Oryza sativa Japonica Group: one gene and its partner. Each later gene encodes a partner of the first gene's protein in a complex. Links are inferred from orthologs where the notes say so. Each region holds a gene or a part of one and is shown on either strand. Other genes may lie near its edges.

Region 1 (4,153 bases):
TAAACCGAAATGATATATTTTGAACTATCTCTTTGTTTCAAAATATAAGAACCACCAACATTTGTAGTTTGCACTAAAATATAAACACTCCTAGCACTATAAAGTATAAAGTACTACTTATTTTAATTGTTTCCCATTAAAATTTCTTTCCATCTCTTCCTTAACCACTTTCTTGCCCCTAACCATATCTTATTTAAGCCGCATTCGTTTATTCAACTCTAAAATGCAACTTTATCTTTTTTAACATGTTTTTCAAACTGTTAAATGTTTTCTTTTACAAAAACTTATTATATAGAAGTTATTTAAAAAAATCAAATAAGTTTAAGTTTAAATTTTACGGTAATTAATACTCAATTAATTATATGATATTGGCTTACCTGTTTTGAGTGCCACCAAAAAGCTAAACTAAGTTGAAGATTCAAACTAGGCCTTGATATTGGACATCGAAATCTTTTCTCTTTAACCTTAATCTCCATGGTTTCCAACTCGTAAAATCAAGTCGAGGTACCCTGGACCGATTGGTCAACTAGTCCATCACTAGCTGATGACTTGCCCATGCAAAAACAGGGATGCAACATATAGTCTTTACTAATATTATACTATACTAAGCATTGTATAAAGTATAAATTATGATCTATAGTAGCAAGACAATAAATCAACAAGAAATAAAACTAAAGTATTAAACACAACAAGCTAATTAGCATGGCGAATTAATAATTCGCAACCGACTTTACGATGAACCACGACTTGCTGTTTGGACGAGACGTGGTTCTCTAGTCGATTAGCTTGACCAACTTTACAACTAATCTATCACTAAAATCGTGACTAGTCGTATGACTTGATAACAATTATAATCTCTATGTACAAATAAAATTATATTTTGGAAATGTAGTACTAGTATTTTTTACAATTTCCTTAAAAAATTATTTTGAGGGACTTTAGTTTTTCTCCTCTAGGAAATAGACCATATATGCCTAATTTTGAAAAGGATAAAGGAGTCGTATACCGGGTATCAGAATTACTAAAATACTGTCGCAAGTTTTTTTGGAAAAAAAATATCTATAGTATAATTATAGTGTAACTACAATATTGTTACACTATAAGAAACTATATCGTAATCTCTGTATAAAGTACATTGTAAAATGTAACTGCACTAACTACATTATAACCACCATATAAGTTAGACAAAAAATTATATATATTATTTCAATACTTATATATAAGTTATATTATAGTTAGAGTAAAATTATATTACAATTACAAGATTTGAAAGTTTATCCTTTAAAATTACGGCAGTTTTCTTTATAGTCTCTACTCGTATATATAGGCGGTTTATAACAACTTGAACTTTTATTTGGGACACGTGTACATAACTCTTTCGGTCCGGGACCCTCTCTTGTTTTTCTTCGTTGCTCGCGAGCTCTTCCCCCCTCGCCTCGCCTCCCCACCCAACAAGCCCGCGGCGGCGACTAGGGTTTTGACCCCCCGGAATCCCCCCTCCTCTCGCCGCCTCCGCCTCCGCCGCCGCCGCCTTCCTCCCCGCGCCGGCGACGATCTGCTCCTCCTCCCCCGCCGGCATCGCTGTTTCCGGATCTAGCGCAAGATGGTTCGTCTCTCTCTCTATTTCTCAATCTGTACCCTCTCGATCCCCAAATTAATGCGGCCGTGTCTGATTCTGTGTTTGTGTTGTGGTTGCAGCTTCCGCTCTCGCTCCTCAAGACCGCCCAGGGGCATCCCATGGTAAGAGAAGATCCGCCGCTTCGCGCTGTGCGTGGTGGTTGTTTGGTTTGGTTTCTGATCGGCTAGGGTTTGAAACTTTTGTGTGGTTTTTTTTTAGCTCGTGGAGCTTAAGAACGGCGAGACGTACAACGGGCACTTGGTGAACTGCGACACGTGGATGAACATCCACCTCCGGGAGGTTATTTGCACCTCAAAGGTGAAATCTCGCATCCCCGACCCACTTCGCTTGTAGATTTTAGTGGGGACAAAAGATTAGTGGCATTGTTTGGATTTGGGGAAAATAGGGAGTAGCCATTTGTTAAAGTAGTCTTCATATTTTTTTTGGAATTTGACGTGGAGATAGACAGATAGTAGGAACTTATAGTTCGAATTGTGTGTTCTCTTTTGGGTCATTTGGTTCCAATTGGTTTGATCGTTTAGTTTGTGATGAATGCTGTTTCCTCATTGTTTATGGTTGTCATTGCAGGATGGTGATAAGTTTTGGAGGATGCCAGAATGTTACATCCGTGGGAACACCATCAAGTATCTTCGGGTTCCTGATGAGGTATGGATTTTTAACATGTTAAACCTTGTTTACTATGTGCTTGTGGTTTGCTGGTTGTATGTTTAGACATGTATGTTCTCCATCTGCATAATCAGCCTTTTTTTTTCCCTGTTAGCATTCATCACCATAATTGCTAGCAAAATCACTATGTCGTGTGCAATTTTTTTGTGGTCAGCTTTCAGTTTCAAGTTTTGTTTTCCCTTTTAGATCTTTATGGGTGCCAGTGTGTCTCTTGTTTTGTCTGAGTAATCTCTCACGTTAGATATATGTAAGTTATTTGATGCCATTTAAGATATCTGCCTTATGGTGTTTTTAAGTGATTTGAGCAGATGAGGACCTCTCTTAAGCTAAGCAGAGCATTTTAATATGATTACGTGCAAATCACTCTGCATTTTATCTGTTAACTATCCACGAGGGGCTGATAAATTTTCTTGATTTCAAATCACTGATATATGACACCAAACAATTCTCCTGCTATGAATAGTGACAAAACTTATGTTCCAACTCTGCTGTACGCAAAGCTACTTTCCCACAGCCAAGGAACATTGAAAATAGTTCAGAACTTCAGATAATGGAGAAGTAAATATCACATAACCGTGACCTGGATAGTAGGCCTAAGTATATATGTCTCCTAGGTCACATCATATAGATGTAGCTGACTTTACATCATATGGATATAAATGTTATTAGTACTTTTAACCCATAAATCTATAAGCAAAGCACAAATGGGAATGTATTGAGCCAGGATATGCCCACACTTGTTATCAATTCTGAATTTAACCAGCCTTTCAATCCCTATTCTGGAAGTACAATCGAAAATTGATATGGTAGAGGTAGAATACTTTTTACCCGATCTTCTGGAGTTAGACAGCCTTTTATCCTTATTCTTAATCTTAAGCTGCATATTTTACCACTGAGATTAAGATTAAGAAACAGACATAAATAGGACTATTGTACCACTGAGATTTAGATTGCATTTTCCTCATGTGCTGGTTTGAGTAATCAAACAATCCTACGATGAGTTGGTCAATTGTGGGACCATCCCACAATTTAGTTGGTTTCCTTATTTTTCTACAAAACTTGATACTTTTGAGGGATGAGATGGAGTGGACCAACCCATTAACATTCCCAACCAAATAGTTAAGTTCAGAGTTAGGATCGTATGGTTCATTCACCAACTAATTCCTGAAATAGAACAGGGCCATCAGTTCATCTCTTGTTAGATATCTCTTGTGTTCATTTTGTTGTATTACTCTTTATTTTTATTTTTAGAGGTCAAATAGCTAATTGGATGTTCTTGATACTACCTCCATCCCAAAGTATGAGTTTTAGGGTTGGGCACGGGTATTAAGAAAGTTGGTGGAATCAAATGGGGAAAGGTTGTGATTGATTGATTTCGATTGATTATTTTTGTCTTTTCATGACATTCCAGCATATGTTATGTACTTCTGTTTTACCTTCATGATGATGATGATGATACACCAGCGTTGTCATTGTTACCTGTGCTTTCCAATCCTAAATGCATGAATTTATTTCTATGACAGGTGATTGACAAGGTCCAGGAAGAGACTTCAAAGAGCAGATCAGGTATGTACCCAATGGTTCCAGCTGTTATAAATCACATTTGTCTCTGTAATTATTTAGATGTTTTAATATTTTCTGTGAACTTGATGAAATATTTAAATCATAATTTTGTGCTATTAGTTGCCTTTGCTTGAACCTTATTCCAGTTCATTATTGGAGAAAAAATTGACCTTATTCAGTTTCCAAGAGATGTATTTTGTCATAACCCATAATTTTTATTAGTAAGAAGTACATTATATGCGGCAGTGCTATCAGTTGAATGTATGTGGCAGTGCAAATGCGTTT
Region 2 (4,308 bases), on another chromosome or scaffold:
GCAGGTTTATGCACCATCAGATTGGAAGGGGTTGGCAATCTCGTCCGTTCCATCGGTTGGCGATACAAGCATCACCGCTGTACCCCTACAGACCTGCAACAAACAGTCGTTGGAGCTGAGGTGTCAGGATGATGAAACCAGCCAAAAAGAAATCAAATGGCAGAAACAAACTAGTAGTTTGCAAGAAACCAAGCTCTTGATTTTGAGATTATTTTTGTTTAATCACTGTTTTGTTGTAAATCTGATCGAATCAACATTTCCAGAAAAAAAAAAAACTAGTGCAGATTTCAGCAAAGTGCAAAATAATCGTATAGCATGGAAATAAAAACTCTCAGAGCTTCCTTCTCTTAATGAAATGATACACACATCTCGTGTATTAGAGAAAAGAACTATCAGAACTACAATCGGCAAGCAATATAAATAATATAGGACAAAGATAAGTCCTGGATATTGAAATCAATACAGTCCTGGATATTGAAATCAATACTGCAAAGAAACTTACAATAAGACCAAGCTGTCTGGTTTTCCCTGATAGTTTCAATGGATCATCTTGCTCTACAAAATGAGAAAGTATGTATGAGAGCTTCACTAAACTTTGCAGGAAAAGATTTAATAAGGCATTTGTTATCTACAACTGTACCACACCTACATTAGCAAGTAGTACTCCCTCCAGTCATGATTGTTTGACAATGGGAAAACTAAAATTTAGTCTATGTGTAATTATTATGCTGTATTCCAGCCCAATCTTCTTTGTACATAACAGTAGATTAGCACCACATAAACATACAAGATGCATGAAGGATGGAAATTTCTTCTTAGTTAAGATTCCAAATACATAGATTTGTGATTTATACTCAAAACTCCAAACCAATGGGGATCAAACAAAACAATGCAATGTATCAACATATGCAGCAGTACCTCTTTCAAATTCAACCGCTTCATCAAGCACCAAGTTTAGAAGCTGGTCATAGCCCTTCAAAGTCCCTGTAACTGCAGATGTAGAAATACCAAAGTTATGGCCTGTGATGTGGTATTAGTGTATTATAACAAACTGCAGGATAACAAAAACGAGTTTTCTGGAAATTGAAACAGTTCTACTGTCATTTTTTAGTCTATTTTCAATCTTTATCTTAATATCAATGCTAATGGCTAACCTCCTTGCAACTACTATAAACAATGTCAAAACTTAAGATATTACATAAGGGGCCGCTCATCTGCTTGACGGAGTTTCTATTTCAATATACAGTTAGCATATGATATTTTACCACTCTGTCCGTAAAATGATACTGAAAAAAGAAAAAAAATAAAGGTGAAAAGTCATCATATAGTTATCAGGATAGCCAACCATGAGAGTGCCTTCACTATCTAGATGAGGTTAGCTACAAACAGAATACAAGGTGTAATTCAAAAATATGCAATCACAGAATCTGGTATCTGTGAGCATACAGATTGAAAGTAAAAAACTGGAAGAGAAGGCGGTAAGCTTCTAGTAGGGCCAAATCCTCTCCACATGCACATATTGGTGTTGCTGAAATTCTGAATGAATGCAAGTGGAATGCTGGTTTATATGTGGTATCATACAGAACACTGGAATCAATGTTTAAGGGATTGAGCGGAGCTCATTTCCAGACTTATTCATTATGAAAGAATATTAAGGAATTAGGAAGTGTCAATTGATAAAGTTGCTACTCGTTAATTTTAACTGGGTGGCGGATGGCCCTTGGACAGCAGGATCCATCACAAGAAATGCTAAAAGATGACCAATTTGTGACAAAACCTTAATTTACCAACCACCATGCTTGAAAACTCACAATTATGTGCTATAAGCATTCAGAGGACATGTTAAAACTAGCCACATGGATGCTGCGCTCGACATCTCAGATCATTACTGTGGACTGGAGCTGATGCGCACAGTGAATTTTACTGAAATAATTAGTAGCTTCTTCCAACCCCATCATTTAGCCTTCAGCTTATAAGCGTAAGTGAAAATTTGAATTTTAAAACTATTATAGAGTTGATTTTGGTGATTTTTCATCGTAGTTTCTTTTGTTCAGCATTTGCTTTTAAATCACCAAGAACTCATATATAAAAGTTTTACCCATAAATTATATTTTTAATCGCTAATTAAACCGTTTCACTTATAATGAGGCTGTTCGAGCTGGCTATACCCTACTCTACAATTTTGCTGCAGACCTAGGATTTCCTGCCCCTGCCACTGAGGTTTCTTGGCACAAAACTATACCCACATCTACGAGTATTCAAGAATCCAGACCTAAACTGGTGATGAAACCAACCAACCTTGCCTGCCGCCGGTGAGCTTGACCTGGACGCCCTTGTCGACGAACTTGGCCAGGTCCAGCACCGTCTCCTTGCGCCCCGACTGCTCCACCAAGACACGAAACCGGAATCAATCCCACCAAACCAAACCAAGAACTAGCACCCGGGATCGATCCAATCGAGCACCCGAAACCCCAGGAGGGGAGAAGAGGGTTTACAACTTACCATCCCGGACCTTAGCCGCGGCCTCTGGTCGCTTCAAATCTGCGAGGCAAGGAGGGAAACTTTGTCAAATTTCGCTGCAAGATCCGAGACGACGGATGGGAGAAGACACGGCGCCCGCCGGCGACGGCGGCGGCGGCTTACCGGAGTTAGGGGGTGGTGGCGGCGGTGGCGGATGCGGGGGTTGATGGTGTTGTGTTTTTCTCTTTTTTTTTCTTCTTTTTTTTTCTTTTTCTCGCAATCACTTTATAGAGGTATAAGGAGGACTTTTCTTATTGGGCCTTCAGCCCATTTTAGAGATGAAGCCTAATTGCTTCAATGTGTATGATTTGAAGCCCAATTAATGGGGTGTTCCTACTGCACGCGCACGCGCCAGAACGGGAAGCCGCGCGTGTTCCTACTAACCCTAGCGCTTACCGTGTAAAAAAACGCAGTACATTTTTTTTTCATGTTCGCACCTCTTTTTTTTTCTCTGAGCGCGTTTTTTTTCCTCCGTTTCTTTCCGATTTTTTTTTAATCTTTTGCACACCTCTTTACAAATGTAGAATTGGAAAGTTTTTTATTTTGACTTGAAATTTTTTAATTTTTGTATTGAAAGTTTTTTAATTTGAGTTGAAAATTTTCAAATTTGAGTTAAAAGTTTTCAAAATTGACTTGAAAGTTTTCAAATCTTGACTTGAAAGTTTTTAAATTTTGTATTGAAAGTTTTTAAATTTGAGTTGAAAGTTTTTATATTTGAGTTAAAAGTTTTCAAATCTGGCTTGAAATTTTTCAAATCTAGGATGAAAAGTTTTAAATTTGGGATGAAAAGTTGAAAGTTTTTAAAATTTAACTTCAAAAACTTTTCAAATCTAGATTGAAAGTTTTCAAATCTGGATTGAAAGTTTTTAGAATTTGACTTCACATATATATTTCTTTTCAATTTATTACTTAAAATAATCTTCGGAAAAAAGACAAATCTTATCTTAATTATTATCATTACCTAGAACTAACCGAATCAGTTTTATACGTATAGAGAAAAAATTCCGAAAAAAATAAACGCGCGTCTCGCCAGCGCAAGCGCTGAGAATGGCTGAGGATGAGACGTGTGGGCCGGCGCGTGCGCGCCAGGGGCGCGTGCGCGCCAATTAGGATTTGCGCAATTAATGTGATGAACAACTGAACTATTTTTGCTCTAGTGAGAACAATTGAATATACGATACTACCCTGTCCCAAAATGTTGCCTAGATTTATAATGGAAAGTTAATATATTTTGGAGCGAAGATAATAATATTTTTTCCTAATAAAAAGATTATCTTGTTTTATTAAAGGTAGAGATAAAGTTAGGTACGAAAAACAAGAAAGTGTTGCGTTTTAATTATTACTAAGTTGAAATAATGATTTATCATGTATTTTAAAATAACTTATATATAAAATGTTTTCACATGGAATATACTGTTTAGCAATTTGAAAAGTATGATAATAAAAACCAACATAAAAATTACTATATCTTAATGGGGGCAAATGGATTTTTTATACTAAAAATCAACGAAAATAGAAGAAGGGTTGACTCTTTCATGAACTCTATCCAAACCATGACAATTTTTTTAAAGTTTTTTTTTGTCAACTATGTTTCAAATCTAAAGTAGATATTAACCAACTAATTGTTTTAGCTATGAGTTGTGTATATCAATGCATTAGGCCTGTAGTTTTGCTAATCAACTACTAGATGTTAGATGTGTTTTTTAAGCTACTAACTCCGTCTCAAAATATGTTACATTTAATATTAAAATTTATCATAAAATACAACTAATAGAATTTTCTATGAAC

What was found. Proteins that work in one complex are often made in the same cells at the same time.
Region 2: probable U6 snRNA-associated Sm-like protein LSm4 (region 1) and sm-like protein LSM7 share a complex: the UniProt entries of both Arabidopsis thaliana proteins name them as parts of the heptameric LSM1-LSM7 complex. The link is inferred for Oryza sativa Japonica Group from reciprocal best matches to the Arabidopsis thaliana genes emb1644 and EMB2816.

What each region holds. Positions count from the first base shown.
Region 1 is NC_089035.1:8,583,616-8,587,768, reverse strand, and holds the start of probable U6 snRNA-associated Sm-like protein LSm4, read left to right. Parts: upstream 1-1,352; 5' UTR 1,353-1,603; coding exon 1,604-1,606; intron 1,607-1,698; coding exon 1,699-1,740; intron 1,741-1,837; coding exon 1,838-1,936; intron 1,937-2,206; coding exon 2,207-2,284; intron 2,285-3,828; coding exon 3,829-3,871; intron 3,872-4,153. UniProt on the Arabidopsis thaliana protein: Component of LSM protein complexes, which are involved in RNA processing. Component of the cytoplasmic LSM1-LSM7 complex which is involved in mRNA degradation by promoting decapping and leading to accurate 5'-3' mRNA decay.
Region 2 is NC_089042.1:4,610,547-4,614,854, reverse strand, and holds the start of sm-like protein LSM7, read right to left. Parts: upstream 2,804-4,308; 5' UTR 2,644-2,803; intron 2,542-2,643; 5' UTR 2,506-2,541; coding exon 2,503-2,505; intron 2,381-2,502; coding exon 2,299-2,380; intron 991-2,298; coding exon 919-990; intron 556-918; coding exon 503-555; intron 94-502; coding exon 7-93; 3' UTR 1-6. UniProt on the Arabidopsis thaliana protein: Component of LSM protein complexes, which are involved in RNA processing. Component of the cytoplasmic LSM1-LSM7 complex which is involved in mRNA degradation by promoting decapping and leading to accurate 5'-3' mRNA decay.